7 linked regions of the Coturnix japonica genome follow. The main gene of each other region encodes a partner of the protein of the gene in region 7 in a complex. Links are inferred from orthologs where the notes say so. Each region holds a gene or a part of one and is shown on either strand. Other genes may lie near its edges. The genes, in order: LIN9, E2F4, E2F1, E2F6, RBL1, LIN54 and TFDP2.

Evidence for each region.
Region 1: TFDP2 (region 7) and LIN9 share a complex: the UniProt entries of both Homo sapiens proteins name them as parts of the DREAM complex. The link is inferred for Coturnix japonica from reciprocal best matches to the Homo sapiens genes TFDP2 and LIN9.
Region 2: TFDP2 (region 7) and E2F4 share a complex: the UniProt entries of both Homo sapiens proteins name them as parts of the DRTF1/E2F transcription factor complex. The link is inferred for Coturnix japonica from reciprocal best matches to the Homo sapiens genes TFDP2 and E2F4.
Region 3: TFDP2 (region 7) and E2F1 share a complex: the UniProt entries of both Homo sapiens proteins name them as parts of the DRTF1/E2F transcription factor complex. The link is inferred for Coturnix japonica from reciprocal best matches to the Homo sapiens genes TFDP2 and E2F1.
Region 4: TFDP2 (region 7) and E2F6 share a complex: the UniProt entries of both Homo sapiens proteins name them as parts of the DRTF1/E2F transcription factor complex. The link is inferred for Coturnix japonica from reciprocal best matches to the Homo sapiens genes TFDP2 and E2F6.
Region 5: TFDP2 (region 7) and RBL1 share a complex: the UniProt entries of both Homo sapiens proteins name them as parts of the DREAM complex. The link is inferred for Coturnix japonica from reciprocal best matches to the Homo sapiens genes TFDP2 and RBL1.
Region 6: TFDP2 (region 7) and LIN54 share a complex: the UniProt entries of both Homo sapiens proteins name them as parts of the DREAM complex. The link is inferred for Coturnix japonica from reciprocal best matches to the Homo sapiens genes TFDP2 and LIN54.

The regions. Positions count from the first base shown.
Region 1 is NC_029518.1:14,858,357-14,862,117, reverse strand, and holds part of LIN9 (protein lin-9 homolog), read right to left. Parts: intron 1,902-3,761; coding exon 1,744-1,901; intron 514-1,743; coding exon 380-513; intron 1-379. UniProt on the Homo sapiens protein: Acts as a tumor suppressor. Inhibits DNA synthesis. Its ability to inhibit oncogenic transformation is mediated through its association with RB1. Plays a role in the expression of genes required for the G1/S transition.
Region 2 is NC_029526.1:1,548,417-1,552,177, reverse strand, and holds part of E2F4 (transcription factor E2F4), read left to right. Parts: intron 1-1,304; coding exon 1,305-1,366; intron 1,367-1,587; coding exon 1,588-1,873; intron 1,874-2,066; coding exon 2,067-2,258; intron 2,259-3,022; coding exon 3,023-3,070; intron 3,071-3,761. UniProt on the Homo sapiens protein: Transcription activator that binds DNA cooperatively with DP proteins through the E2 recognition site, 5'-TTTC[CG]CGC-3' found in the promoter region of a number of genes whose products are involved in cell cycle regulation or in DNA replication.
Region 3 is NC_029535.1:1,933,205-1,937,610, reverse strand, and holds the start of E2F1 (transcription factor E2F1), read right to left. Parts: upstream 2,930-4,406; 5' UTR 2,915-2,929; coding exon 2,723-2,914; intron 2,455-2,722; coding exon 2,364-2,454; intron 2,103-2,363; coding exon 1,883-2,102; intron 1,742-1,882; coding exon 1,589-1,741; intron 1,442-1,588; coding exon 1,327-1,441; intron 1,241-1,326; coding exon 1,048-1,240; intron 478-1,047; coding exon 230-477; 3' UTR 1-229. UniProt on the Homo sapiens protein: Transcription activator that binds DNA cooperatively with DP proteins through the E2 recognition site, 5'-TTTC[CG]CGC-3' found in the promoter region of a number of genes whose products are involved in cell cycle regulation or in DNA replication.
Region 4 is NC_029518.1:88,734,025-88,738,532, forward strand, and holds the start of E2F6 (transcription factor E2F6), read right to left. Parts: upstream 2,986-4,508; 5' UTR 2,749-2,985; coding exon 2,683-2,748; intron 71-2,682; coding exon 22-70; intron 1-21. UniProt on the Homo sapiens protein: Inhibitor of E2F-dependent transcription. Binds DNA cooperatively with DP proteins through the E2 recognition site, 5'-TTTC[CG]CGC-3'. Has a preference for the 5'-TTTCCCGC-3' E2F recognition site.
Region 5 is NC_029535.1:564,058-568,486, forward strand, and holds the start of RBL1 (retinoblastoma-like protein 1), read right to left. Parts: upstream 2,917-4,429; 5' UTR 2,825-2,916; coding exon 2,475-2,824; intron 2,367-2,474; coding exon 2,166-2,366; intron 1,057-2,165; coding exon 992-1,056; intron 900-991; coding exon 771-899; intron 659-770; coding exon 498-658; intron 1-497. UniProt on the Homo sapiens protein: Key regulator of entry into cell division. Directly involved in heterochromatin formation by maintaining overall chromatin structure and, in particular, that of constitutive heterochromatin by stabilizing histone methylation.
Region 6 is NC_029519.1:41,219,637-41,223,397, forward strand, and holds part of LIN54 (protein lin-54 homolog), read left to right. Parts: intron 1-542; coding exon 543-688; intron 689-2,160; coding exon 2,161-2,316; intron 2,317-3,761. UniProt on the Homo sapiens protein: Component of the DREAM complex, a multiprotein complex that can both act as a transcription activator or repressor depending on the context. In G0 phase, the complex binds to more than 800 promoters and is required for repression of E2F target genes.
Region 7 is NC_029524.1:8,761,021-8,764,781, forward strand, and holds part of TFDP2 (transcription factor Dp-2), read right to left. Parts: exon of another isoform or gene 2,525-3,761; coding exon 2,477-2,524; exon of another isoform or gene 1,890-2,476; intron 1,072-1,889; coding exon 909-1,071; intron 425-908; coding exon 278-424; intron 1-277. UniProt on the Homo sapiens protein: Can stimulate E2F-dependent transcription.

The sequences.
Region 1 (3,761 bases), on a different chromosome or scaffold from region 7:
AGTCTAGGTCAGACTATTCAACAGAAACTATTTAACAGAAATCCTACAGCAGAACTTTCTGTGAAATCTTACATTACTCATTACACTTTTTCATACTCAGCCTATAAAAGTAACTCTATTCTGCTATTCCAGCCTTAGTTACTACAATTTGTATTAGGAGAAGGTGATCTTATTCTGTATAACAAGCAGCAGCAGAAACTCATTCTCCTGGAAATTCCCATGCATCTGTTATGCTTGTTTCTGGTTTATGACAACACTACCTGGATGTAATTAACACATTCTTCTTGATTAAAGGACACAACTGTAGATTAAACAAACAAACAACAACAAAAAAGAATTTGCATTACAGCTATTTTGGGAATGTATCATTAATACTTACAAGAACTTCATAATCTGGGATTGTTTGTGTCCCAAGACCTGCCCTGTCAAAAGTGACTCTGTATGTAGCGTTAAGAGTGTCTACAGCTTCTATCTGTCCTGTGAACAGCCCATCATGGACACCTCGCAATCGTGCTAAAAAAAAAAAACAACAACAAACATATGAAAGAAAAAACATATTAAGAACAAAAACCTCCACAAAAACTCAAATATTATAATGCTCTGATGTCACTGAGAAGAACAGACTTAAATGTTACGCATGTAACCTTGGCACAGATATGTAATCTTTTTTTATATATGCATTCCAACGCATATATATAGAAAAACAAACAAGCAAAACTTGTAAACCCAGAAAAAAGCTGTATCCACTAGAAACACCACCCAATTTTTTTTTTTTTTGTCAAATTTATCTTTGCAAGTCAAATATTTCCCACATCTAATCTTCAGCACTACATTTATGTCTAAACAAAATACTATCTAACACCCAATACCTTCTGCCAATTAGATTTTGCAGGCAAAAATCAATTTTGGAATAATTTTGCACACCATCTCTCTATGACCACTCGCAGTGATGACTGTATACTGAGAAAAAGAAGATATAGAAGGATATAGGTCCATGAGAGTGAGAAGATACAGGGTGCTTTGTATGCCTGCTTTTCAGCAAGAATTAAGGACAGGGATGCTGAAGAACTCAGAAAGCAATGAAGAAGCAATGAAGAGGCCAGAGTGGGAGATACAGTGCTCAAGTGAAAAGCATCCTCCTTCACAGAGAGGAAGAAGAAATTCAAGATTTTTTTATTTTTTTTTTTACAAAATTAAGCAAAGCTGAATGCATTTTCTTTAAAAAAAAAACCATTTTTAACAAGATCCCTTTCTCAGTTATGAGTACTTTTTTCTATAAGACAATGTCCTATTTAGCATATATATTCAGCTACACTGCAATATCAATTGTATATTTGTTTTCAGATAGGTATTTTTATATTTATGGAAAATCAAGCTTAAGTTTTATATTAGCTCGTATTTTAAACTTCCAGGCAGCACTAAGCTCTTGGCTTTGAAGCCTCTCTAGGATTTGTTGGGAGGTACTTTACTTCAAGCAAAACAAACCCAAACAACAACAATAAAAATAAACAACTACAGTTTCAACACCAGAAATAATAAACCACAAAATCTTATCTCAAAACCATGTTGTTTTACAAATACTAGATAATCACGATAAGCGCTTTCTCAATGAGCTAGCAACAAAAGCAATTAATTTTTAATGTTTTAAATTTATTTCACCTATGCACAGTAAGTAACACCGCAGTTTACCAAAATATTTGCAAAAATCTTGGGTATTGTTTATTAGTTTTTAAGAAAAACTACCTGTAACTTTTGTTCCTATTACAAGGGGTAATGGAATTTCATCTGGAAGATCTTTGAACTGTGAAATATCTGCAACTTTACGTTGCTGCAAAAGTCTTATTTTCTGCCGCTTCTGTTTTAATGCTGATCTTTCTTCCTCAAAGAATGCAGAGGAGCACCTACAATACAATGAGGTAAAACTATACTTAAATTTGACATTGAAGACATACGTATACAAAATACATAACAAACAAATGAGCGCAGTTTACAACTCAGTGAGAGTAAATGAAAAAGCTTGAAGTGAAGTGCTCAAGAGAGAAAGATTTTGATGAAGAGATTTAGATGCTCTGAGTCTCTGGAATTATTACTCCTAGAGTAACAGTTCGCTTAAAACAAAATTAAAACAAAGAAAACAACAACAAACAAACCTAAACAAACATCGAACCATCCAAAGAACAACCAGAAAGACTTGGGAATGCTGTTTGCATTAATATTTCAAAAGAGTACTGATTTTGAGGACTTTTTATCCTTACTGTGGTCCATCTGGTTTCACAACAAAGCTGTAGAGAGCCTCATATCCAGCCTATCCTGAACACCATGTCCACGCCTGTACTTAGGACTTACTGTCAGGTTACCTGTCTGCCATCACCTACTGTACACAGTAGAAAGTTTTGAAGGTTAAACTTAGTATGAAAGGGCAGCAGACTCAACATAAAAGAGCTTTTCCTTGTCTCTTCTACTAGCATTCATGCTGAGTATTTCTTAGACACAAGTTTCTATTACGTAGATTAATTGTTCTGACACTGATCACAGTACCAGTATAAATTTGTTTGGATGAAGGTTCTTGTGTAAAATCAGATCATCTCTAAAACTCATCTGTCCCTTTGCTTTGGCCTTAGAATGTAATCTAAGAGATTGCAGACTTACTCACAAGGTCTTTATTTGGTTTTATTCATTTTCACTTTTAATCTCCTGAACAGGCACGATACATGAAAATAATACTGAAAGCACAGACACTGCTCCTATCTCTATTCCTTTATTAATAAAGGAATCATTCCTGTGTTGGTAACAAAAAACAATTAGGTCTGCCTAATTGCAGAAGTAGTTATTTATGATATAATTTACTACAACTTTATTAATTGCTTTACTGTAGTCAAATGCAATTTAAACATTCTCTGTAGAACTTATTAGCTAAGTATTGATCAGTGATCAATAAAAAGCGCCATTTTACAAGGGTATTTTAGACAATACTGATAATTTCTCTACTGGCTCCCTATTCTACACCAACTATTCTCCAGAGAAAAACTCAAAGATTAATTATTCAAATCTCATGTAGTATTGAGCAGTCAGCTCCTCTATTTCCAAGTCTGCTTATTACTCTTATTATACGCCGAAATAAACATTCTTGTGTTTTCTTCTGTATATCCCTCACTCAAACTGTTTCACAAAGCCACTTTGCTAATCTTCAAAATTTCTTTCTTGTAGCTCACAAGAACATGGAGACACTATTATTTTCTGCTATCAGCACTATGAATATGAAGTGTCACGCTTTCTCCTCCCTCCTGGGCAAATATTGGTATTGCCATGATATTTATCTTACTTGAGCATGACTGAGGATAGATATAGGAAATTTCTAACAGACATGTGATGCTAAAAAAAAACCAAACACTTATACTTCAGAAGTAGATTAAAATTATTTGATAACACACTCGAATGATTTAGAACCATTCAAAATCTTTTAAAACTGAGACAAAAGATTTCTGCTGAGATCTTGAAAAAAGCTGACAATATTTTCTTGTTTAAAAGTATTAAAAAACCAGTAACAAACAGAAATGCCTATTTTAGGTTGACAAAAAGCAGGTTGCCCATGACCACGTCCAGATGGCCTCTGAGCATCTCCAAGGCAGAAACTTCTCCTGGTAACCTGTTCCATTGCTCAGTCGCTCTCATAGTGAAAAAAAATAAAACAATTATTTATGTTCAGAAGGCAGCCTCCTGTGTTTGAGTTTGTGCCCACTGCATTTTTTCTAGACACCACT
Region 2 (3,761 bases), on a different chromosome or scaffold from region 7:
TTCCGTTTCTCATCTTTCCTTTCTTGCACTGTCCTCCTTGTTCACCAGACTTTATCCTGCTTGAGTTCCTGCTTTACTGTTTCTTCTGGTTTAAGGTCAGGCTTCTTGGGGACGGGGGTTGTGTTTTCAGTTTGACAGTGCTTGGGGCCAGATAGTTTGTAACAGCCTGTGGGAGCTTCCTGGAGACCAGCAGACAGATTATTGCTTGGTTCATTGAGCAGTTTGCATTTTATTGCACCTGTTTTTCTTCCTAAAAGAGTTTGCTTCTGAACTCAGACCACACCAAAAACCTTAGTTGTTAGTGACCAAAAGGAAGTGGAAACACACTGTGCACCGACTGTCTTGTGAAAACATTTGGGACTCAGCTATCAAGAGAGATAGAAAGGCAGTGCCTGTGATGTTGAGGCCGTTGGGTCTTTAAGTTTAAGCTTTCTTTGGGCTTTATTATGCCTTTTTAACATCATTTAACAATATTTTCCTTAAGTGTAGATTTGTTAAAGGACTCCCATCTCCTCCACAAATCTTGTGCTTCTAATCCCTGCACTTTTGCTGAGCTGACCTTTTGTTACCTGTCTGTAATAGAAGGATGTGCTGTTCTGCTGTCTGCTCTGTGGATCGTAGGGAAGATGATCAGTCCTTCACGCAGGATGTTGGTGAAGCGTGGACACAAACCACACTAAAGTTTAAATATTCAAACTGAAAGCTGCTAACTGCTCGGTCTTTATATGCCTGCTTTTACAGCACTGGTATTTCCCCCATTCATGTTTCTCGTGTTAAATATAAACCTGGATGCAGATTGGGAGCAGCTCATCTGGGTTTGTTGTGTTCTGCAGGACTTGGAAAGGAGATGGTGCTGTCAGCCTGGCTCTCTGTGTCTCTGTGCAGGGGCCAACACAGCCAGCACCAGGCAGCTCTTGCTGATAGAGGCAAGGGAACATCGGCTTCAGGTGTTGGTCCACGTGAGGCTGCTGTGCTGTCTCTGCTGGCAGGGCAGCTCTTCCAGCTGTGTGCCATCCTATTCACAATTCAGACTGGGGAAGATGAATGAGTTCTGTGGAGGAATCGGCTGGAAAAATGCTTGACTTTTCTCGGAAGGGTTGCTTGGAAAGAAGTTTTGCAGGTTCTTTATGCCCTCAGGGTTGGTACGTTCAGAGCTCCACAATCTGCTTAGCAGCTTGAGTGGGTGTAAATGGCAGTCCTCCAAAAGAGGGAAAGCTGTGTGGACTTTGAGAAGTGCCAGGGGCTCTTTGTCAGCATTGGAACAGCCTGTGCCCTGTGAGTGCCGACCTGCTCTGTTTTCACAGGAGACACCCTCCTTGCAATTCGAGCCCCTTCAGGCACACGCTTAGAGGTTCCCATCCCTGAGGTGAGTGATAAGTGCGTGGATAGAGAGCAGCTGTGTGCTATGGGGGAGTGCTGCTGCACTGAGCAGGCTGGGAGTTGGGAAGGAGTTGGTGGTTGTGGTTTTGATGGAGTTGGAGGAACTTGGAACTCAAGGAAGGCTCTGACTGTTAAATAGTTGCCAAGATGATCTGTTTGGAAAGAGCTCTTAATGTACATCTGTGTTTTGCTTCTGACTTTTCTCAGGGCCCGAGTAGGCAGAAGAAATATCAGATCCATCTGAAGAGCACCAGTGGGCCAATTGATGTTCTCTTAGTAAACAAGGATGCTTGGAGCTCTCCTCCAGTGGTGCTACCCGTCCCACCCCCTGAAGACCTCATCCAGTGCCAGGCAGTTGCACCCTCAAAACCACAGATCCCTCCGCTTGCCCACTTCCAGGAGGCATCTGTTCCCAGCAGCACCCAGCCCTCAACGCCAACACCTTCCAGCACTCAGGATCACAGCCCTCCTGAGCAGAAACACACGAACACAGGTGAGAGGGAGGTTGCAGAGAGCAGAAATGGGATGGTTGCCGACCAATAGGGCAGTACAAACCTGGTCATACAGCACTGTCAGCTCCTGGCAAAGGGAGCACCTCTGTGCTTGCTGCACCGAGCCTTTGCTTTCATCTTAGTGGGACTGGATGTGCTAATGGAAATACTGTGTGTGTCTGTGGCTCCTTCCAGAATGCAGCATCTCAGTGCTGGAGTCCAAGAGCAGCAGTGACCTCGATCCCCTCAGCAATGTGTCTGCACCCAGCAGCCATACAGCCAGGCTGGACACGCAGCTGCTGCAGTCCTCTGCCTCACTGGACAGCAGCTCTGTCCTACCCAGCCCCTCTGCCTCCTTTGAGCCAATCAAACCTGATCCTGAAGGAAGTGAGTATGCACCCTTGGTTTGTTTGTCTCTCCAGATTGTGCCACTGGGAGCGAGGGAGGGGCTGCTGGCTCCAGGGGGACGAGCTGAACTCTGTCAGCCAGACCACATGAGCAGTGAACAGGCATTTCTTTGGGGGGAGAAACCACAGCAGTGTGTGGGTGCTGGGGAACCTGGTGTGGAGATGACAGTGTCACATCTAGTGCCGTGTCACTACCTGTGATGCTAGGCTCAGAAAAGCCACAAGGGATGCTCACGTGATGCATCTGTGCTGTTCTAGGTAGGATTATTCTCTTTCAGCCCCTTTTGTAGTGCTAGGTCTGAGTTTTGAGACTGTGAAGCCTTCACTGACATCACTCTTGTAACTTGTTCGGTTATTAGGAGAGCTCTACTCTCTGTTTTTCTCCTTTACTCAGAAGTACTTCTTCTATCTGTAGCAATCTTGTGGTCTTATTGTCTTCCAGTATGTGTCTGGGAAGCTTCCTGCTGTGCTTGTTGAGGTGCAATGGGCTTTAAATGAGGAAGTGTTAGCTTCAGACTGGGAAATGGCAGGCTGGTCCACAGACAGAAGAGCATCCTCTGGATAAGACACTGTGCTTTAATGCTTCGAAGCTTACCTTCCATGCAGAAGTACTTAAAGTTAATGTGTTAGAAGGGGATGGTGCATAAGGACTGAGAGGATAGCAGGGCAGCGGCTGATGAAGCTGTATAGTATTTCAGATGCTGCATTTAACAAAGTCAATCATTTGGTTTGTTATATTCACAGTGCTGGAGCTTCCCAAAGAGCTGTCAGAGATGTTTGATCCAACGAGAGGTACGTTCACACCCTGATCACAGATGAGAGCTTTTCAGGCCCTGTGCCAGCACTAATCTGTGTTCTGCCTTCCCACACTCCTCTTCCAACTTGCCTGCATCATCTAGAGCCACCAGCAAAACCCCTGTTAGTCTTGTTTCAACTGCAGCGTGCCACTGTGGATTTCTCTCTGCAGTAATGCATGCTGTTTTATGGACTATTCCTCCTGCTTTGGAGGGGTGAAGTTCAGATCCAGGAGTGAAAGCTGTGAAGGATTTTGCTTGTTTTACCCTCATCTACTGAAGAAGGTCTAAAAATATAGGTTCTGTATTTTACTGCTATTTATTTTAGCTCATATTATTCCTCTCTGGTTACCTCTAGTTGAAATCCTCTCATCTCACAGCATGGAACTAGGCAGGGTACATTCCTGTTCTTTAGGAAATGGCCTGCAGTGCATCAGCATCTTGAGGACGGGCTCATCTGAGTTTGTTCTGTGGAAGATCACTTCACTTGTGGGTGATGAGGGCCTGGCCAGGCTGATTGAGATCATCACTGTTTAACTTGGTGAAGTGAGAGAGGGAATCAGAAGGTTGTTTCCAAACACTTCGCTTCTAAAAGGGGAAAGATCCGCTTGCACACGCTTGGCCTGGCTGCTTGCCTGCCAACCTTTCAAGTGCTTCGTGGTCCTGTTGGCCAAGTTCAACATCACTGG
Region 3 (4,406 bases), on a different chromosome or scaffold from region 7:
TCAAGCACCAAGCTGGGCTCTGTCCCATCATGGCACAGAGATGCCGGATAGGAGGGAAGAAAATATTGCAGAGGGGACGGATGGAGGGGGCCCAGGGCTGCTGCAGCACAGGGACCCCAGGAAGGCACCAGAGCCACACCAAGGCACAGGGCACCACGTGGCTGTCCTCAGCCCTGCCTGCGTCCCCCCCCTTGGCAGTGGGATAGCTTCTGAAATCAGGACAAGAGCCTCAGAAGTCCAAGTGCGTGAAGTCCCCAAAGTCACAGTCAAAGAGTTCACTGATGCCCTCACCCTCCTCCAGGCCGAAGTGGTAATCCTGTGCCTGTGGTGGTGACAGGGCAATGAACTCATCCGCCAGGAAGCCCGAGAAATCGTCCTTGGCCTGCTCCAGAAGGGTGTCCATGGAGGCCAGCGGTGACAGGCTCACATCCTCTGTGGAGCACTTGGAGGGCAGTGCTGTGCCTGGTAGCAGTGCTTCTGTGGGGACAGAGCGAGGCTGTCAGCCCCACAGCACACACCAGAACTGCTGTGTTCTAAGCTACTGAGGCCATGCAGATGGCACACAAAGCATCAGGAGTGATCAGAAACATCCAGGCCAACTGGGCAGCGTGACTCAGACCACTTGCTGAGTGGTGGGACAAAGAGGGACAGTGTCCTTTCCTAAGCAGAAAGATCCAGGGCTGTCTCTGCCAAGCTTGGGTAGGAGCAGAGCCCACAGCTGGGTGGATCACAGAATACCCCAATTTAAAAAGGACTCGCTCATAAGGATCATTGAGTCCAACTACTTGGCACTGCATGAGCATGGAGGTCAGGCTCCTCCTAACACACAGCCAAGACCTCAGCCCTGTAACCTCGTGCTCCTGGAACTGGAACAACAGTGATAACACTGTCCCCACACCACAGAGCCCAGGCAGTGCCCCCATTCCATTCCATTCCCATCCCATCCCATCCCATCCCATCCCATCCCATCCCATCCCATCCCATCCCATCCCATCCCTTCCCATCCCATTCCCATCCCATTCCCATCCCCATCCCCACCTTGCTCACCAGGCAGCAGCATGTTGACATCCTGAGCAGGATGCAGGAGCGGGGAGGCTCTCTGCTGCGATGAGCCAGGGGACAGCTCCTCAGCAGGTGCCTTGAAGGGGCTCTTGACGGGGCTGCAGACCCCTGAGCTGTCCTCGGGGCAGAGGAACACGTCGATGGGGCCCTGAGTGCTTTTCACTGAGACCTGGAAAGCCTGGGGACAGGAGGGACATGGAGTGCCAAGGTGGAGTTGTACCGAGGGCTGTGAAGATCCATGGGGAGGAGAGACCCCTCACTCACCTCTGCCGGGTCTGAGACTTGCAGCTGGGTCTCTGGGGGTGCCTTGATAACCATCACCATTTGCTCAGAGGGGTCCACAATGCTCCGAAGGTCCTGGCAGGTGACGTAGGCTGCGGTGCGGCGGGTCAAGGAGCAGACACGGGGCCACATTCACACCCAAAACCCCACACAGTGACCATAAGTGTCAGAGCAGGGGGGGGCTCCATTCCCCAACAGCTCTCCAGCCCATCCAGCCCCATCCCGGCCCCGCACCGAAGGATATTGCTGGTTGGAGGGATCCTCGGTGAGCAGCCGCAGCTGCACCGTGCACGTCTGGATGAGCTCGTCCAGCTGCCGTTCTGCCGCCTGCAGATCCCGCAGCTCCTTCTCCAGCAGCTGCTGTCGGCTTGAAGCCCCCGCGGCCACCTGGCTGCCCCTGGGGTACACAGGGCTGTCACCCCCAGCACTAACACCCCACTGCTGCCATCACCTCCCGATCTCAGGGTGGAACCCAACCTCCCTCCCTCCACCCAACCCTGGCAGCTTCGGTGTTATCCCCCCACCCTGATGGACATACATCCACTGGATGTGGTTCTTGGACTTCTTGCGGATGAGCTGGATGCCCTCCAGGACATTGGTGATGTCGTAGATGCGCCTCTTCTGCACCTTCAGCACCTCGGCCGCCCAGTTGAGATCCACCACACCATCGGGGGATTGGCTGAGCAGCTCCAGGAAGCGCTTGGTGGTGAGGTTCAGTGAGGTTTCATAGCGGGATTTCTCCCCAGGAGACTTTGCCCCTGTTGGGGACAGGTGCAAGATTCAGCCGTGGGGCGCGGGGCAGCCCCAGCACCGCCACACCCGGCAGGTGAGCAGCACCCGGCAGCTGCTGGCAATGGGAAGCTCGGGGGATGGTGCTGCAGGGCCCCGAGACTGAGCCCTGACAGCGAGCAGCCGGGCAGGGCCCAGCGCTCTACGGGGACGGCAGGTGGCAGAGGGGAAGAGGGAGGTGACGAGGCCCATCCCGAAGGGCTCAGGCCGGCAGCACAGCGGGGCCGTACCTCTGCCGGGGATGCGGGCCCTGCCGCGGGCGGCGGGCAGGCTGTCGGCGATGTACTGGTGATCCGTCTCCAAGTTCAGCTTCCGCTTCACCTGCGGGACAGGGCGTCCTCAGCGCGGGGACGCGGAACGCACCGCGGCGGCAGGGCCGGGCCCCGGCCTGTGGGGGCAGCCCCGCGCAACGGCGCTGCCGGGCGGAAGGCGGCCTCGGCGGCGGCTTCCGGAGCGGCGGTGCCCCGCGCGGCCGGGCTCTGACGGGGGGGGGGGGGGGGGTCCCGCGTGGGCACCGCGACGTCCCGGCCCCGCCCGGCGGCCCGCTCAGCCCCGCTCAGCCCCGCTCCCTCCCCCGTCCCGCGGTTACCGGCGGGCGGCCCAGCGTGGGGCGGCGCGGCGCGGGGCCGGGCTGGGAGGGCTGCGGCGTGGCGAAGAGCAGGAGGTCGGCGTCGGGGCGGCAGCCGCCCGCGGGCTCCTCGGAGGCCGAGACGATGAGGAGGTGCGGGGAGGAGCCGCCCAGCAGCGCCGCCAGCCCCGCCGCGCCGCCCGCCGTAGCCATGGCTCAGGTGACGGGCGGCGCGGGGCGCGGGGCCGCGGCCGGGGCGGGGGCGCGGCCCATTGCCGGGCGCGGGGCCGATCCGCGGGGCCGTTCCCCAGGTCGTTCCGGGCCGTTCCGGGTTGTACCGGGCCGTGCCGGGCCGTGCCGGGCTGTGCCGGGCTGTCCCGCGCTCCGGCCCCGCGCGCCTTTGCGCGCCAAATCCTTTTTGCCGCGAAAGCGGCGCCAACCTCCCCGCGCCCGCCCATTGGCTGCGCCCAACGCCGAGCGCTGAGGCGGGGGTGCGGGGAAACCGTCTGATTGGTCGAGGTCGCCGGAGGGAGGGGCGGTGCCGGCCGCCCATTGGTTAAGGGCGGCGGCGGCGGACGCGCTGACAGGCGGCCAATCAGAACCGCCGAGCTGAGGCAGGAGCCAATCGGGAGGCGTCTCGGGGACGCGGCCGTGGCGCCGCGTGGGTGAGGAGCGCGGCCGGGCCTTAAAGGGGCCGAGGGCGGCGCGGAGCTGGTCCCGCGTGGGGTCACTCACAGACGGGTCTGAGCGCCGGGCGCTCCCTGCACTGCTGGGCTAGAGCTGCCCGTGACGCTGTGCGGGCTGCGGGGCTGAGCTGCGTGTCCGTGGCGGTGCGGGCGGTGCAGGGCAGGGCAGCCCATAGTCAAAGCCGCGGGACGTGGCGTGGGCGGCTCCCGCCGTCTGTATCCCGTGTGCGGGGCGCTGATAACCTCAATGTGCCTCCAACGGAGCCCAACCCACAGGGACATAAACACCCCCCCATCTCGGTACTGCGGGGCCGGAGTTGGAGCTGCGGCCGCAGCGGGGCTCAGCGGGACGGCCGGGTTAGCGCTGGGTGCGGGCGGTGCCTCACAGCGGGGATGTAGTGAACGCTGAGCGGTGTTTTGCTGCTCGTTCTTCCTGTGGCTGCGGAGCCCACGGCCCAGCCCTGCAGCACAGCACCGAACGGCAGCACCGCTCCGCTTGGCGGCGGTGAGCGCTGTTAATTAACGCTCGGCCCTTGCGATAACCCGCACCCCGGTCACGGCGATATCCCCGTTAGCGAGTGGTACGAGCAGCAGTTACACGCCAGATGCGGCCCGTTGGTGCCGCCCCGCCCGGACACACGGTCCCACCCGCCCCGGCTGCGGGGCCGTTCCGGGGCCGCGGGCTGTGAGCGGCAGCTGCGGCACCAGCTGCTCCCACCGCGCTCACAAAGGCCGGGGCAGCTGGGGGCAGCACGGGTTTGTTTTATTCCCCCCTCCCTCATTCATACGGCAGTTTATGCAGGGGGAGCGGGCTCCCCCCCCCAACCTCCCCCGTGCCAATTCGCCGAGGCTTTCAGCTCTTGTGGCACTTGAAAAGGGCAGATGCAAAGACAAATGAAAGGCAAAACAGTCACTGCGACAAATGCTGAGGGGGGAAAGGGGGCTTTTCCCCACCCGCGGATGAATCCCACCTGGCACAGCTGCGGGTGGTGATAAGCTGCCAATGGGTGCTGAGCCCT
Region 4 (4,508 bases), on a different chromosome or scaffold from region 7:
GCATGGAATGCAGCCACTTACTTTTTACAACTGGTACGTCATCATCTAAACTCAAGTCAAGCATTGGTGTCTGAGGAAAAAAAAAATCAAGGTGTAAGTAATGCCAGATGCAAACAGTAACAGGAGAACTGACAGCTCAACAGAGCAATGTGAAGGAATCTCACTCAGTAGAAGAACAGTAGTTGCAATTAGTCGTGGGTTGCTGTGGCTTAAAATGCTCCTTCAGTTACGTGTCTTAACACATGTGCCACTTTTGACAGATGGCTGATGGCTGCACTCAAGTTTATCACCATCCTTCCTGTATCGGTCAGTCCCAAATGAGACACAGCACTCCAGAATCACAGAATTGGTTGGAAGGGACCTCTAGAGATCATCAAGTCCAACCCCCCTGCCAAAGCAGGCTCCCTACACCATGTCACACAGGTAGGCATGCAGGCGGGTCTTAAATATCTCCAGAGAAGGAGACTCCACCACCTCCCTGGGCAGCCTGTTCCAGTGCTCCATCACCTGCACTGTAAAGAAGTTCTTCCACACATTCGTGCGGAACTTCCTATGCTGTACTTTCATCCCATTACCCCTAGTCCTATCCCCATGCACTGCTGAAAAGAGACCAGCCTCACCACTATGGCTCCCACACCCACAGAAGCAAATACTTGACAAGCAAAGGAGAACTGCATACACCTCAGTGCAGGATATACCGATATCTCATGTTTAGCCCACTGTCCATACAGATTCTCAGGTCAGGACAGGACTCTTCAGCAGGATAATTCCATAACATCTCACTTCCCAGCCTTTACCACATCAAGTTACACTTCCAGGTATAGGATTCAGACTTAATTTTCAAATTCCTTGTTCAAGTTGATCATCTCCTTGATGATCCATCCCTCCAGCCTATTCCCAGAGGTTTCTAACATCTCCAGCCTTATCTGTGTCTGCTTTCACTAAACCACTTCTTCCCCTTAGCAGCAAATTCACATTTTCCTTCACTCACCCTTCCTTGGCAGTTAAAAAGCTCCAGTCACCCTCGATGATGTCCTTACAGGCCTCCACCCCTTCATCTTTCCAAGCTGCCTCTCCCAATATTTCAGTGATGTGTTGCCTGAATAAGCTGAGTCCCGAAGTCTGCTCTCCCAAAGTCCCAAAGCACGTGCTGTGCCAGGGGAGGTTCAAGTTCAATACCAGAAAATGTTTGTTTTTTTTCTTGGAAAGAGTGGTGATCCATTGGAAAAGGCTACCAAGGGAGGTGGTACAGTCACCATCCAGCACAGCCACTCAGCCCTTCCCCACGCCTTGCACTCAGTCCCCACAGCACGCTGCAGACATACAAGCAGGTGGAGCTCTTGCTACATACCTCATGGACAGCACAGGAGCAGACCTGAGCTAGATGACCAGGTTAACTTGGTGCTTAACATCACCAGAGTCTGATGAGAGGCTGATTGCAAATAGTGCACTCAGGTCTGAGAAAATACCTGAGAGGGAGAGAGCCCTGGACAACAGGGCACTGTAAAGAGTCTCTGTTGCCCTATGGTGTCCTGGGAGCACCCTATAGAATCTATAGGGCCCCAATTCCTCCGTTACAGCATTTACGGGATCTCTATGGGAAATGGTTTTAAGTTAAAAGAAGGAAGATTTAGGTTGGATGTTAGGGGGAAGTTCTTCACTAGGAGAGTGGTTAGGTCCTGGAACAGGCTGCCCAGGGAGGTTGTGGATGCCCCGTCCTTGGAGGTGTTCAAGACCAGGTTGGACGGGGCCCTGGGCAACCTGATCTAGTAAAGGTGTATGTTTGGCGGCCCTGCCAGGCAGGGGGGTTGGAACTACATGATCCTTGAGGTCCCTTCCAACCTGGGTCATTCTGTGATTCTGTGTGATTCTATGCTCCTATACTCCTGAATGCTCCCCCCACAAAGGCTCTAGAAGGCCCTGGGATCCCCCCTACAGGGCCCAGAACACAAACCCAACCCACAAGGCCTATAACACCTCTATAAGCCTCACGAGGCCACTCTGCCTCACAGCTCCCCATAGGCCTCGGCTGCCGATGCCACTTTCCGACCATCCTTCGCTGCCTTCCCAGCTTCGGTCCCAGCTTCACCACCTCCTCCTTGTCCTTCCCAATGGCCCCCAGCAGCTCTGTCTCCTCTTTCTAGTTCTGCATTTTTTGTTTTTGGCACCGTGTCAACTTGTTCTTTGTAAAGAGACAGAACCGAAACTGTTTTCTCTTTTAAAACAGCTTTTTAAGGGATTACATTTCATCACGTTCCAGATTTTAGCGCTTAAAATGTACTGGGTCTCTATTAAGTCCACCACTCAACTCTCTGCAGTCATATGTACCCATTAATTAGAAGCACTGGTGGTGAAGCACTCCTATTTTGGCTGGGAAACCAAGTTTTAAATCAAACCTCTCCACTCTACCCGTAAAGAGACAGGGGGGTTGGAACTACATGATCCTTGAGGTCCCTTCCAACCCGGCTCATTCTGTGATTCTGTGTGATTCTATAAAGAGCTACATTAGAAAAGCTCTATCCTGACGTCCTCCCGCTCCCAGCAACCCGCAGCGCCGTCCCTCCCCACACACCCCTCCCTCCCTCCGCAGCAGGATCCAAGCCCCAACCCAGCCCATCCCAGCCCCGCCCTCTGGCCGTTCCCAGGCTGTATTTCCATCCCTATTCCCCGCCCGCTCCGTACCGCGCTCAGACGCAGCGTGTCCGGCCGCAGCGGCCTCAGGCGCTCCCACTTGGAGGCGGCGGCCATGTTGGCGCGCCCCCTCCTCTTCCTCCTTCACGCCGGCGGCGGACTTCGATGAGACGGCAGAGCACTCAAAACCCTACCCGATGTTGCTGGGGGCCCGTGCGGGATAAAGGCGCCTCCATCCCCGCCCCACCTCCGGGTGGAGGGGGTGCCGGGGCCGCCTGGGCTCAGCGCTGCGGCCGCTCCTACCCTCCCCCACCTGTGGGCGGCCGGGCGGCGGATGGAGCGTTTGCGCATGCGCGCACCTGGCCAAGGTGACGCAAAGGCCGAGCACCAATCCGGTGCCGCGGGGATTTCCCGCTCTCTCGCAGCGGAAGCGCCGTGTGCATCGTTACCTCAGTGCCCTCATCACTGAGCGCTGTGTGGGGGTCAATGGAACAGGCTGCACAGGGGGATGGACGAAAGACTCAACATGAGCCAGCAGTGCGCTCTGGGAGCCCGGAAAGCAAATGGGATCCTGGGCTCCATCAGGAGAGGGGTGGTCAGCAGGGATAAGGAGGTGATTGTCCCTCTCTACTCGGCTCTTGTGAGGCCCCATCTGTTGTACTGTGTCCAGGTGTGGAGCCCTCAGTACAAGAAAGACATGGAGATTTTGTTAAGGGTCCAGAGGAGGGCCACAAAGATGATCAGGGGGCTCCAGCACCTCCCCTATGAGGACAGGCTGAGGGAGTTGGGTTTGTTCAGCCTGGAGAAGAGAAGGTTGCGGGGTGACCTCATTGCAGCCTTTCAATACCTGAAGGGAACTTACTCCCAGGAGGGGAGTAAACTCTTGGAAAGGGCTGATAATAGCAGGACACGGGGAAATGGTTTTAAGTTAAAAGAGGGAAGATTTAGGTTGGATGTTAGGGGGAAGTTCTTCACTAGGAGAGTGGTTAGGCCCTGGAACAGGCTGCCCAGTGAGGTTGTGGATGCCCCGTCCTTGGAGGTGTTCAAGGCCAGGTTGGACGGGGCCCTGGGCAACCTGATCTAGTAAAGGTGTATGTTTGGTGGCCCTGCCAGGCAGGGGGGTTGGAACTACATGATCCTTGAGGTCCCTTCCAACCCGGGTCATTCTGTGATTCTGTGTGCTTCTGTGACACATCACTGATACCTAAAAACACACACTTTCTTACGGGCAACATAATGCTCTCTAAGTATTCAATAGCAGAAAGTACAGTCCAATAAGGAATGAAGATTATCCTCTTGCTGTTATACTCAACTGGAGGCATATCTTCTCCAATTGGATCGATTTTCGACCCACCACCAGAGGGCGGTCATTCCATTTGCTGAATGGGATGTTTTAACATTCATATAACCTACAACAATGATTTCGTTAAAATTTTCTGGTTTCAAATGCAGTCTCCCCTTAAATGAAATCTTGCAGCTGGGCTTTCCTGTAGATGCATGTGTGCAATTGCAAAGATGAGCCAAAGCTAATATTGTCCTGAAAAAGTGAATAAGTATGAAAGCATTAAAGACAAATTATACATGTAAGTATCATATGGATGCAAGTATCTGTCTATATTTTTGTATATCACAGAATCACACAGAATCACAGAATGACCCGGGTTGGAAGGGACCTCAAGAATCATGTAGTTCCAACCCCCCTGCCTGGCAGGGCCACCAAACATACACCTTTACTAGATCAGGTTGCCCAGGGCCCCGTCCAACCTGATCTTGAACACCTCCAAGGACGGGGCATCCACAACCTCCCTGGGCAGCCTGTTCCACTCTCCTAATTTAATCTCCTATATTAATATGTCTGCTTGTTTAAACTTCCTTAT
Region 5 (4,429 bases), on a different chromosome or scaffold from region 7:
GAGCTGTGCTGTTACCTCTGCCCCTCGGCAGGGAGGAACCTACTGGGCAAATAGAGACATCTCCACGGAGCTTAGAAATACCTCCAGGAGCAAAACCACACAGAACAGTTTTTCCACCTGTGACCCCAACCTCCTCATTCAGAGCACTGTGTTTAGCCCATGACACACACCAGGATCCAGACAATCATGACAGCTACTCCACAAGATAACATCATCTTTAATTAAAACAGGTTATCACCTGCAATTTCCATACTGCCAAGGAAGCAAGGATTCTCCACTGACATAAGAAGCCAAAGCAGAGGGGGGCCCTACAGCACTCATCATTAGAAGGGAGAGTTCAGCTCCGCTCCTGCCAAAATGCACAGAGGAACAGACCTGAACCAACACAAGTCCTCTGCCTACCAGTGCACCTTCCTCCATACACACGGGATTTCAGTGTTCAAGACAGGACCGTCAGTATGAGCGCTATCACACATCCTTCAAATAGCAATACGAACCTTCCTATCAAACAGCTTAGAAATGTATGGCTTGAAGTAGTGCTCCTTTATTCCTTTCGCTTCCACAAGAAGCCCATCATGCAGCTCACACAGCGTGGCAATGATGCACGGGGGGTCCTCTGAGGCTTTCATCTCTAGTGCGTGGAAGTCAGCTGGTAAACCTGGGAATGGGCGAAGGGGAAAAACAAAACAACCAACCTCCATCTTTACTTAAAGAAGAATAACCAAAGGAACAAAGTGTATTTCATTTTGAATAACTGATCCCCACCCTACCTTTAAACGACGGATTTAGCAAATCTCTCCGATTTGGACACAAAATGGCATTTGCAAAAACCAGGTCCAAGCAGCACAGAAGCAGATGATAGGAATTTACTAAATCATCCCCAATCATACGGAAATTACCTTTAAGAGACAGCACATCATGTCAGGCGACGCAACAGAAGTTTGTAACTCAGAACGCATGCGAAACACGTGGCTGCAGAGCACAAGCCTACCCTTAGTGTACACAAACAGGGTCCAGCAGAAGTTGAAGAGATCCTTAACACCACACAGCACCCGCCTGTCAACGAGAGGGGTGGGAATCAGTCTCTGCTTCCAGGAAGCTGAAACATACTGCTTAGCAAGTTTCCTTCTGTTTCCATGCTCAAAGCAACAGACAGAGCCATCACCTCATGAGTGCAAACTAAGGCACACTGTAAGCTGCGGGCACACAGAGCAGCTCCTCTTACTGCAGCCTCCTGGATAGCTCTGCAGAGCTTCTGGCACAGCATCACCGACTGCTCTGAGCCAACAGCTGCCTGTGCTTGGTGCCCCAGGCACACTGCTTTGGTGATGGTGTAATTGCAACTGGAGTCTCATAGAGCTGCACGCAGAGCCATGCTGAGGGCTCTCTCAATTGCAGTGCATCTTTCTCCTAAACGTTTTACTAATGCATCACACATCCCTTCAAAACATGCAACCACAACTTGCACTGCAGCTCTTCTGGTGAATAGTCTAGGAGAAGAAATGAATGAAAACCACCTGACAGAGAAGCTAACAGTGCGGTCACGCTAATGAGAGCTGCTCTGATGAAGGAACATTAACAGTGCATGGACATTTCTCCTTGTGCAGACGCAGCAGAACTGGCTGCAGCAGCAGCAGCTCCCTTCCCATTTGTGCACAAGGAGCTACACCAGAGCGGGTTACCACAAATTAACCCCTTGCATCCAGACCAGCACGTGAAGCAGCAGAAACCCCCAGCAAAGAGCCAGCTCAGCTCCTGCTGCTGAAGGTCGTATCCTCATCAGAGCAACCAGGGACAACCACACAGTCAATGCAGAACAAGGACAAAGCCCTTGAATCTAGAAGCGCTCTGTGCATCAGGAAGACACCAGAAGCAGTTACAGTGTCACACAGATGAGCACATTGTCTGCATTTTTCTCCCACAGAAGGGCAGCGCTCACCTGGCACTCACATACGGGCAGTCACATAAAGCAGCCGCACGTTGGAGCCCCGCGGACGGAGCACCCTGAGAGGCACGGGGGGACTGACAGCCCAGCCTCAGCCACCGCCCTGCACCATCCCTGCGTTCACACTCAGTCACTTCAAAGCTCGGCCTTATTTTCTAAGCACAACAAACGTTCCCGTTACTTGTAAACCCATGCAAAGCCACACGGCGCTCTGCAGTACCTCTGCTTCCTGCTGCGCTGGGGTTTCCAGGTCTCCTCGTTGGGGTTTTGAAAGACATCCAGAAATATGGGCTCGAACTTCCTGAAGATGACGGTGGACACCTCGAAGTTCCTCTCCAGTCGCTCCACCCGCTCCCGGAACTCCTGCGGCACGTTGGCCATGTCCATCCACTTCTTCATTTTGCTAAAGAACTGAATCAGACTTAAAAGGAAAAAAAAAGAAAGAAAAGCCGACGAGGAAAGCGCCACTTTATTATCGGCTTTAACGCGCGTCCGTTCTCAGCGCCGCCCCGCGGGCCGAGCTGCGCACCTGAGCCTGGCGGAGCGCAGGATCCGGGTGAGCGACACGCCGTTCCCCTCCACGGTCCCGCAGCCCACGGTGGGCAGCACGCGGCGGCGGCACGCGGCGTACAGCGCGCAGGCCAACCAGTGCTGCGCGTCCCCCTGCAAGGCAACGCCGCGCGTGGGGCCGGGGCCGACTCGCCACGTCGCGGCCTGACGCCCGGCCTCACCGCCCACCTCCAGGCTGTAGGTGCCGCGCAGCGCCGTGAAGTCGCGCAGCGCCTCGGCCGCGCTGCCCGCGTCCAGGTTGAGCTCCCGGCACAACCGCTCCACGGCGGCGCCGAGCTCGGGCTCGAGCAGCGGCTCCGTGCGGGACATGACGGCGGCCCAACAACGGCCCGACCCGGCCCGGCCGGCACCGCGCCGAGCTGCTCTGCGCGCCAAAACCCACCACCGGAAACGGCGCGGCCGCTTCCGGCGCCGTGAGCGCCAACGGGCGGGAAACGGGAGGGGAGCGCGGGGCTGGGAGGGGCTGTGTGTGTAACGGAGGGGGAGCGGGCGGGGCGGACGGAACCAGGACGTGTCCGTGTCCGTGTCCGTGTCCGTGTCCGTGTCCGTGGGATGGCTCGTCCCTGGGCCCGTCCCATGTGCGCGCTGTGCCCGCCGCTCCGCAGAGCCGCCGTCCTCGGTCGCGGTGCGGGGCGGCCTCGTGTGTCACGGCGCTGCCCACAGCGTCACCTTGTGCCGAGCGGGGCTGCGGGGCCGGGACCGTCCGCACATGGCGCCGTGCGAGCGGCTCCTCGGGCAGCAGCTCGGGACCTCGGAGCTGCCCCAGCCCCGCACGGCTCCACGCACCGCCGGGAACTGACCCTTATCGCGTCCGTCCGCCCGAGGAACCGAACGGCGACCGCTCAGTAACGGCGCCGCCCTGAGCCGGAGCGACACCGCGAGCCGCTGCTCGGCACCTGCGGGCGTTCGCCGGGCTCCGGTGCAGGTGTCGCGGTGTCAGTGGGAGAAGGACCGTCCCGCAGAGCGGTGCTGCCCGAGCGCACCGAGCGATGCCGGCCGGTACCGCGGCCGCTCTCCGGGCTCCGCCTCCGCCCCCGGGCGCCCCGCAGCGCTCCGGGATCAGCCCGCCGTGCCTTGGGCCGCTCCGCTGCGGGAGCACGGCGGGACCTCGGCGCTGGTGCCGAGAGAAAAGCGAGGAACCGGTATCACAGTCAGGTGAATTAAACGTTCACATATATTTGCTGAAAAAAATTATATACATCTGTAGCAAGGCTCTGCCAAGTCTGAAAGATAAGCATCATCTCGTCACTAAATTAAAAAAATAAAAATCTGACCTTTAAATCTTTTTTTTGTTGGTTTTTTTTTTTGTTGGTTTTTTGTTTTTTTTTCCTTTTCTTTTTATCCACATCCAAGAGCACAGACCTTTATTTGTTAGCGCGTTTGGTGGGGATGTGTTTGTGTGGGGATCCAGGACAACCCGCGGAACGTCGGCGTTTCTTTGGGATAGGATGGAAAATGAGAAGGAGCTGCCAATGCCTCACAGCGCAAGTAATGCACAGAGCACATCGGGTTGCAAAAGGGTCACAAAGCAGTCAAAGAGAAGCCTAAACACCCAGAGACGGAGCGGACACGGCTGATAATAGAACAAGGTACAGAGCATGCCAGCTAATTAAATAAACGCCACTTACAACCCTGTTCCCTACCAGCGTAACCCTGGAGAAACCATCCCGTGCAAGAAACGGACCATGAAGAGATGTCTGCGTCCAGTCACAGTAAGGCTTGAAGATACAGCAAGTTTTATAGCATTTGTATTTTAAGGATTTAGGGCAAGTACATGTTCTTCTACTGAATAAAAAGAAAGTTAGTACTTAAAAGGTTCAAAAATATAGCAATCGTGATTTTTTTTTTTTTTTTACATAAATAAATTATATCGATTTTGGATTTAACAGCTGAGAAAACCCTTTTCTGCTTCCA
Region 6 (3,761 bases), on a different chromosome or scaffold from region 7:
TCTATTCTGTAGGCAGTGAAAAAGCCAAACACCAACACAAACTGAAGGAAAAAGGTCACAGTTGAATGTGGAGAGACACCAAGCACCACTTTCATGGTCATATGGAGAGTTTCTGCTGTCAGAGTTGTAAAAAGAAGCACCCACACCGCTCCCTCCTTCCCAGTTCACATTTTATTGCACATTGGCAGCAGCCTGGGGTCTTCTTAGCAAGCTGCCAGCTGTTGGGGTATTTGTGTGCAGGGCAGGAGTACTGAAGGGCTTTGTGCCCTGGGATGCTGTGCTGGCTCTAAGGATTCAACAACTGAACGTTACAGAAAGATGGATATAACTTTCAGCTTTTTTAAACCTAAATAAACAATCTTTTTATTTGTAGTAATGCGGATTACTTTCTAGTTGAATCTAACTCGAAAGAATTCTACTGTCCTTTCTGCTAGGTAATGTACCTTCAGGTGAGGATCAGCTACAGGCTAACCAGAGAAGGCGTTTGCTTTACAAGTTGTAAATGGTGATAGTTCAGCTGACCATCCCTTTCTTGATTACAGGCAGGGTTGTTTCACAATCTACTCCAGGAACACCACCAAAGACAATAACAATCTCTGAGAGTGGAGTTATTGGATCATCTTTGAGTACAACAACACAACAGACACCGAGTAAGATAGCTATCTCGCCACTCAAATCTCCTAACAAGGTAAGAACCTTATTCTAGCTGCAGCCTTCTCGTCTCTGCTGCAAAGGAAGCTCTGTGTTTGCATCTTTGCTGCAAGCTGTCTGTGATCTGCCACTCCAGAGTCTCCATTGTGAGTCACTATGCTCTGCTCTGCTATAGTGGCCTAAGCTGGATTTTTCAGCTAGCTCCTTTAATGTGATTTCAATGCACATTACTGCATTAATTTCCCATTCCTGTCACTTTTTGCCATTTCCGAAGCATCCATTCTCCTGTTTCATTCAGCTGTTCTCCTCTAGCCAAGTGCTGAAATAGCGTACTATTTCTTTTATCAACTTCTGAAAAATTCACCAGGCTCTTCAAGAGGAGATCTCAGTTACTTTATAGGTTAACATTTACCAGCCATTGCCTGGTGTTCCATAGGTAAATTAGTCTTCACTAATGTTGACTGATATAGATGAGATTGGCAACGATTCTTGACAGACTGGGAAATTGGTATAGGCAGACAATTGATAGAAAGGTAACTTGTGCATCATCAGCTGTGTTGCAGATGAGCATTGCAGTGATGCTTGGATCTTAGACCTGATAAAATTCCCTTGAGAAGAAGAATATTGCTGGAGAAAGGATGAGTCTTAGAGTGGGAACCAAGATATATAACACATGCAAGCTAAGTACAATGTATGAAAACCTATGTGAGAGTTAAGATTTTGTTAGTTTGGATGTGCATTAGCAGTGGAATGTTACACAAATGGAGCAAAGGGCTTTTGTTTCAGAATTATTACTGGGCAAAACAATGTAGGGAAGCTGTAAAGTCTTATTCTAAGAACTATCAGAAGAGTGAGAGTAAAAAGTCTGTTATCTCCTGAGTTTACTGTAGGCAAATAATTCTAAGTATCTTTTTAAAAAAATGTTTCAAAACCTGTGGATCTTTCTGAAAACTTAAAGCAGGAAATGTAAAAGAGTAGGTAGAAAACAGTGGGAGATGTCCTGGTTCTATCAGTGAAACTGCAACAGAAGGGCTGATAGTATATAGAATAGTCAAATGACACACTGCAGAAAACTGGGTCTTACCAGTATCTGGAAACTTATAAAATAATTTCCTCAGTATTTTCCATTTGGTATGAATTAACAGCATAAAGTGAGATTATTTTTTTTTCATTTCCATCTTTTAAAATCCCCATTGATCATGTAGCCATCATGGTGCCGATTATAAAGCTGTTATTCCAAAATCCATCCTGACGATGCTATGGCTTCAGTGTGCAGAGTTTCCAACCAAAACGGGGCAGTGCTGACTTCCTGCAGGGACCTTTCTGTGCTGTGATTGCACGGTCAGGTTGCACAGTGTGAGTTGTGATTAGATTACAACTCTTTTGTTCACAAGAAGATCTTAATGTACTGTGGGAGAACTGTACCTCTCATAATTAGAGGTACATATATATATAGAGGGTTTGCATACTGCACAGAGGTTTAAACTGCTTCTTTGTTTTGCCAAGCAGCTAACAGTGGTGTCAGTGGCCTCCCAGCCTCCCAACTCCCCCCAGAAGACGGTGGGCGTCCCACTGAATGTAGCGTTAGGACAGCAGATCCTCACAGTGCAGCAGTCAGCACCCTCCTCCCCTGGGAAGGCCATAGTCAACCACACAACCACGCAGGTACAGACTGACTTTTGTTTAATTTTTAGCATGTCTGCATCTCATAACACATGGGAAGACTAGGGTGCTGATCTGCAGGATGGCAGTGGGCATTCCCAAGGTGTTTTTGTAAAGGCTTTTGTTCAAGTTGGCAGAGGAACGGGTGGTCCTCCCATGGAGGTACAGGCTGGCTATGGCTGACAGCCAAGGGTGTACACATAGGAAAAAATGGGTGTCCAATCTGGAAAAGCTTCACTTGGAGCTAACTCTTGTATCTGTATATTATATTTCTCATGTCATCTTAAAGACATGCTGTGATAGAAGGCAGAAGTCTTGGAGTAATTGATTCTTTTCCAACAATGAACTGCTGCTTTCTGGGTGTTTGTTTGTTGCAAGCCTCACTTCATATTTTGGTATGGGTCTAGTAAGCAAAACTCTGTGCTCTGAGACCTGCAGAATTATGAATCAGTTACTTTATTACTAGAAAAATACCGAGATTCTCCCTATTAATTTTTCTAAGTTAACTTGCATTAATAAAAGAAGACAGAATTGAGCTGTTTCACAAACTACAGTTTGGTTTTTTTTAACCCCCTTTGTCATCTTAGGGGAATCTTTTTCCATCTTAATGTCTGTATTCCTGTTATGATAAACACAAAGGACAGTGCGCAAGTGTAAATGAGAAAGGTGGCTATTGCAGGGAGTCTTAACAGTTATATGCACTGCAAAAGACCCAAAGCTCCATCAGATGTTGATAGTCTTAGTATTGTTTCTGTTAATAGGAATGGTAAAATGGGGACATAAACACCAGCACGATTTGACATTTCAAAGTAAAAATGGCAAGATTGTTTTAAAAAGTTGTTAAAACATAAAATCACTCTTGTGCAAGCAACCAATCTGAGTGACCAGTCTGAGATTCCTATGTAGTGTGCATATTGAGATGTGATCTAAAGCTGTCTGAAACGTAAGGATTTCTCCTGGCTTCATAGGGCTCAAGGACATGCCCTTTGAAGAGCCATCACTTAAATATTATTTTCCCAGTTGTTGGATGACAGTCAGCGATTTATGTGCTAGATGGAACTTTGCCTAAGCTGGTCTCTCCGTAATAAAACGCTGTGACTGTGCTTGCAGACTGTGAGTGCTGTTGAAATTTCAGTACTTTTAAATATCTATGCATCCTCCACCACCACCATCCCCCTTCTAAAAAAACAACTTCTCTAAAAGACTGCACTTGTATCTCTAGTGAAGTATGTGTAAAGTGAGATTTTATTCCTGTAGCTATCAACACCTAGGAAAAGGTTCTAAAGGTTCTAAAAATGTCATATTGTTGTATCAATCAAATTTACCACAAAGATTTAACACAGTTGACAGTGACATACTAATATCAATTTTAGTAGATATTGAGAATAAATAGTTGAACTCCAATAAATAGTTGAAGTGACTGAGAACAAGAGAGCAGAAGAGATTAA
Region 7 (3,761 bases):
TTAAAAACTATCCCTGATACAGATAATGAATATTTTGTAAAATAAACAGCTTTTGAAACCTGTGCAAGTTATACTAAATGAAACCAAACCTGACATAGAAAATAAACATGTTGTTTCAGTTTAGTCAAATACCAAAAGCTGTATTTCCATACTGTGCAAGAAGGGAAACCAGTCGGGCTCAAATGGTGCGGAAAAGAAACCTCTTCTGAATTACAGCAGCTCTGTTATAATGACTGACTTATGAACTCTACAGATATTTGCATCTACCTCACTTTACCTCTAGATTCTGACATTCCTGAGCTGAGTTTGTAGGAAGGCCGATCCATCTGATCTCCTTTTTCTCCTTTGAAATTATGTTCATTGCCATCAGCACATTAAGGGCATCATAAACTCTCCGTCTAATATTTTTCTGATCGTAAGCCTGCTAAGAGAACAGTGCAGCACTGATAACTATTAAAGCACTCAAAAAGAAAGCCCACCAAGAAACACATTCTTTGCACCTAAAAGAACAGCATTAAGCCAGAGTGATAGTAAAATGATGCCGTCATCTGTGCTAGTGCTTGGCTGTCATAGCAGCATCTCTGTGCACACAGGAAAGTACAGGACCTACTTGAAGCCTCTGAGCAGCAGCTGCCGTCACAGCAAATCTGTTACCACTGCAAAGCATGACAAGATGCACTGTGGGCAGAGCAGCCTTCAGTGCTTCATTTATTTATTCCAGCCTTCTCTATTTTGCTGATAATTTTGACAGACTGTATTTTAAAAAGGAATTTGATATATAAATAATGTAAGAGTAGGTCATTATATTTCCAAGACAGTTAACTGAGGGAGACTGCGGGACGTGTCAGGTCACACAAAGCCACCCAGTCCTGCAGTGGTAGAAAAAAGACATCCCCACGTTTGCTTACCGAATCCGCAGCCAAGTGGCTGTTGGAATTTGTGAATTCTGATACCAGCTCATCAGCAACTTCGTTGTATGAAGTTGTTCCTTTGCGCTGAACTTTTTCACATACTTTCATGGAGAAATGCCTCAGACCTTTCCCGTTTTTGTCTCCTTTTTTGCTTCTTTTACTGTAAGGAGGAAAGTAATTATTTTTATAAATTGAAATTTAATAAGCTTGCTTTGTTATGTAGCTTTTGCAAGAGTCAAAGAAACCCAAGAGCTTAGCTTGTATCAAAGGAAAGAACAGGAACAATCTGTTTCTTCAGACAATCTAGAATAGAGTAAGAGTGGCCTGGAGCTTCAGGTACACAGCACTGCACACTCCTGGCAGATCCTTACACAACTCAAAATCCAGTTCCTGCTTTTTCCCCATTATCGGCTGCTCCCCATTATGGAAGTTTTCAACTGCAGCCGATGCTGCTCACATCTCACTCAGCTCTCCCTAAGATGGAACATTTTTTGTTTCAAAACACTACATCTTTAGAAGCCCAGGTTATTTATTTTCACCAATTCCCTATGTTTTATATTAATAAGTTAAGTTTTACTCTACGAAGGTTATTTCCTGTTGCATGTAATTTCACTGTATTTCTTTAGGTAAATTTTTATATCTTGCTGTTGTAATTTTACATGCTTTGATTTACTTTTTAATTAAATGCTCTTCAGAGGCATTACATTAACAACACAACAAATGTCAGTAAGTTCAAAAGGTGTGTTTGAGCAAGACTGCAAATCTTACTTCATTCTTGACTGACAGCTTTATGGACACTTGGAAGCAAAATACTAATAAAACATAACCTAATAATATGCAAGACTTACATCAAAAAACCTTTTGTCATTGCATTTCTTAATAAAAACAGTGGAACTACTTGCATGCATTTCACATGCTCAGATGGATTTTCTTTTTTTACAAACATTACAGTTACAGAAGTTGATTTGCCTGTTTCAGGGAGGGGTGTTATGTTGCACAGGCAGACCCGGCTCCAGTGCTATCGAAAATTTTGAATGTATTTAAAGAAAACATAACAATAAAAAATGACAGAAGAAAAAGCAGAAAAGAATAGCAGAAGATTAAAAAAAGAAAACAACAGGACAGCAAAGAAAAAGAAACAGAAAACCCTCCTAAAACCTGCGCAGTTACTCGAGTCATCACTGGTAGGCAAACAAATAAAACACGCTGAACGCATTCCATGTTGGTTGTAGCAACCAACTAACTGGTTGCAAGAGTTTGTCCCACTGAAAGCTGCGAAAGCGAACTGAAAATTCTTGTTTCTGAAGATGTGTTGTGGTTTTCTCTCTTTTTTACAGCTCCAGTTTGGTCTGTAGCAGTAAATGTAAATATATCAGAAATAAATATAAATAATAAGCAAATGTTAATGATAGGAAGTGATACAGCAAAGGGTAACGAATTGTAACTACAAAGAATAACACACTGCACAGCTTTTAGTGGGGAGAAGGGACAGCTCACTAAAGTGGAGACTAGACAGCCAGCTCTCTGAAGGGCTCTGAAGGTAAATTAAGTTCAGTAATACTCACCTTTCTGAAAAATCCGATTCTATAAATTCTCGAGTTCGTTTTCTTTCCCTAGGAGAAGACAATTCAAGCTTACTTATGATAAAAAAAAAAGTTATTTTAACAATAAAATAAATGTATTTGGTGCCTAGCTGAACAATGAGATGTTCAGCGCTTACTGAAGGAAGAAGACAGCACACAGTGTGACAGAATCTGAAAGAAAATGGTAAGGACTTTGGAGGTTGTCTGAGCAGGTAAATAATACCTAAATAAAGTGCTTTCCAACAGTGCAGAAAACAGATCCTGTATTTACTTGATACTGAATGTTTTGGTGTCTTTAAACAAAAAACAACACACAAACTATAAACACACGTACATATTAGAGCTGATGCTATCGCAGCAGAGATACTGTGAAGAAGCAGCTGACATGAGCTTAGCACAGGAGTAGACGTTGCTAATCATTGCCAGTTTCCCTGTAGTTTTGTTATTAGCTGCATCTTGAAGATTTCATAACTTTTATTACAACCTTGTCTCTTACTCTTGCAGCTGATAATGCACAGTGTTTGGGAACCGTCATAGTATGCTACTTCATATTGCTACTCTGTTATTCCGAAGCAGTCTTGCAGCAGATACACGCAGAGCTAAAAAGCTGACAGTGTTAATGAAGAGAGCTGAACTAAAATGATGGCTCTGAAGATGCTGTGAAAGCCTGCATGTATCTGGCTGTGCAATTCAGAACCTCCAGTCTGACCAGTCCCACCTGCAAATGTCTTCCTAGCAGCAACAGCAGCAATTCCTGTCCATGGTGCTTACCAGAGCAAGGTGGGGCAGGGGCTGCAGCATTTGCATGGGACAACAGGGACCTGGAATGGCAGTGAGTGGAGAGCTGCCCCAGATCTGTAAAGCCTGGCTGCCTGGGGTTGTATGGAGAATGAATATGATCTTATTTGTCTCTGGAAACAATTTAGAATCAGTGAAGATGAGGTAAACAATGGGCAAAGCAAGGAGCCGAGGCTTGGAATCCTCTCAGTAAAGTCTCAATGCTTAGATGAGACACTACCAGAGACCCTTCCCACTGCAGTTCTCCAGAGGAAAATGAGACCTATAGTACGGTCTTCTGCAGGGATCAATAATCACAGACCAGTCTGGAGAACATCTATTTCCTTTTAATGAGTGAAACAATAATTAAGCTCACAGGAATAACTGTATCTAAGATTTTCAAAGTTTACAACCAGAAAGTTGCTGCTTCTCTGTGGTGGTGCTGGTAAAAATGCACCAGAACTGGCTCATCCCTCAGTATCTGCATCAG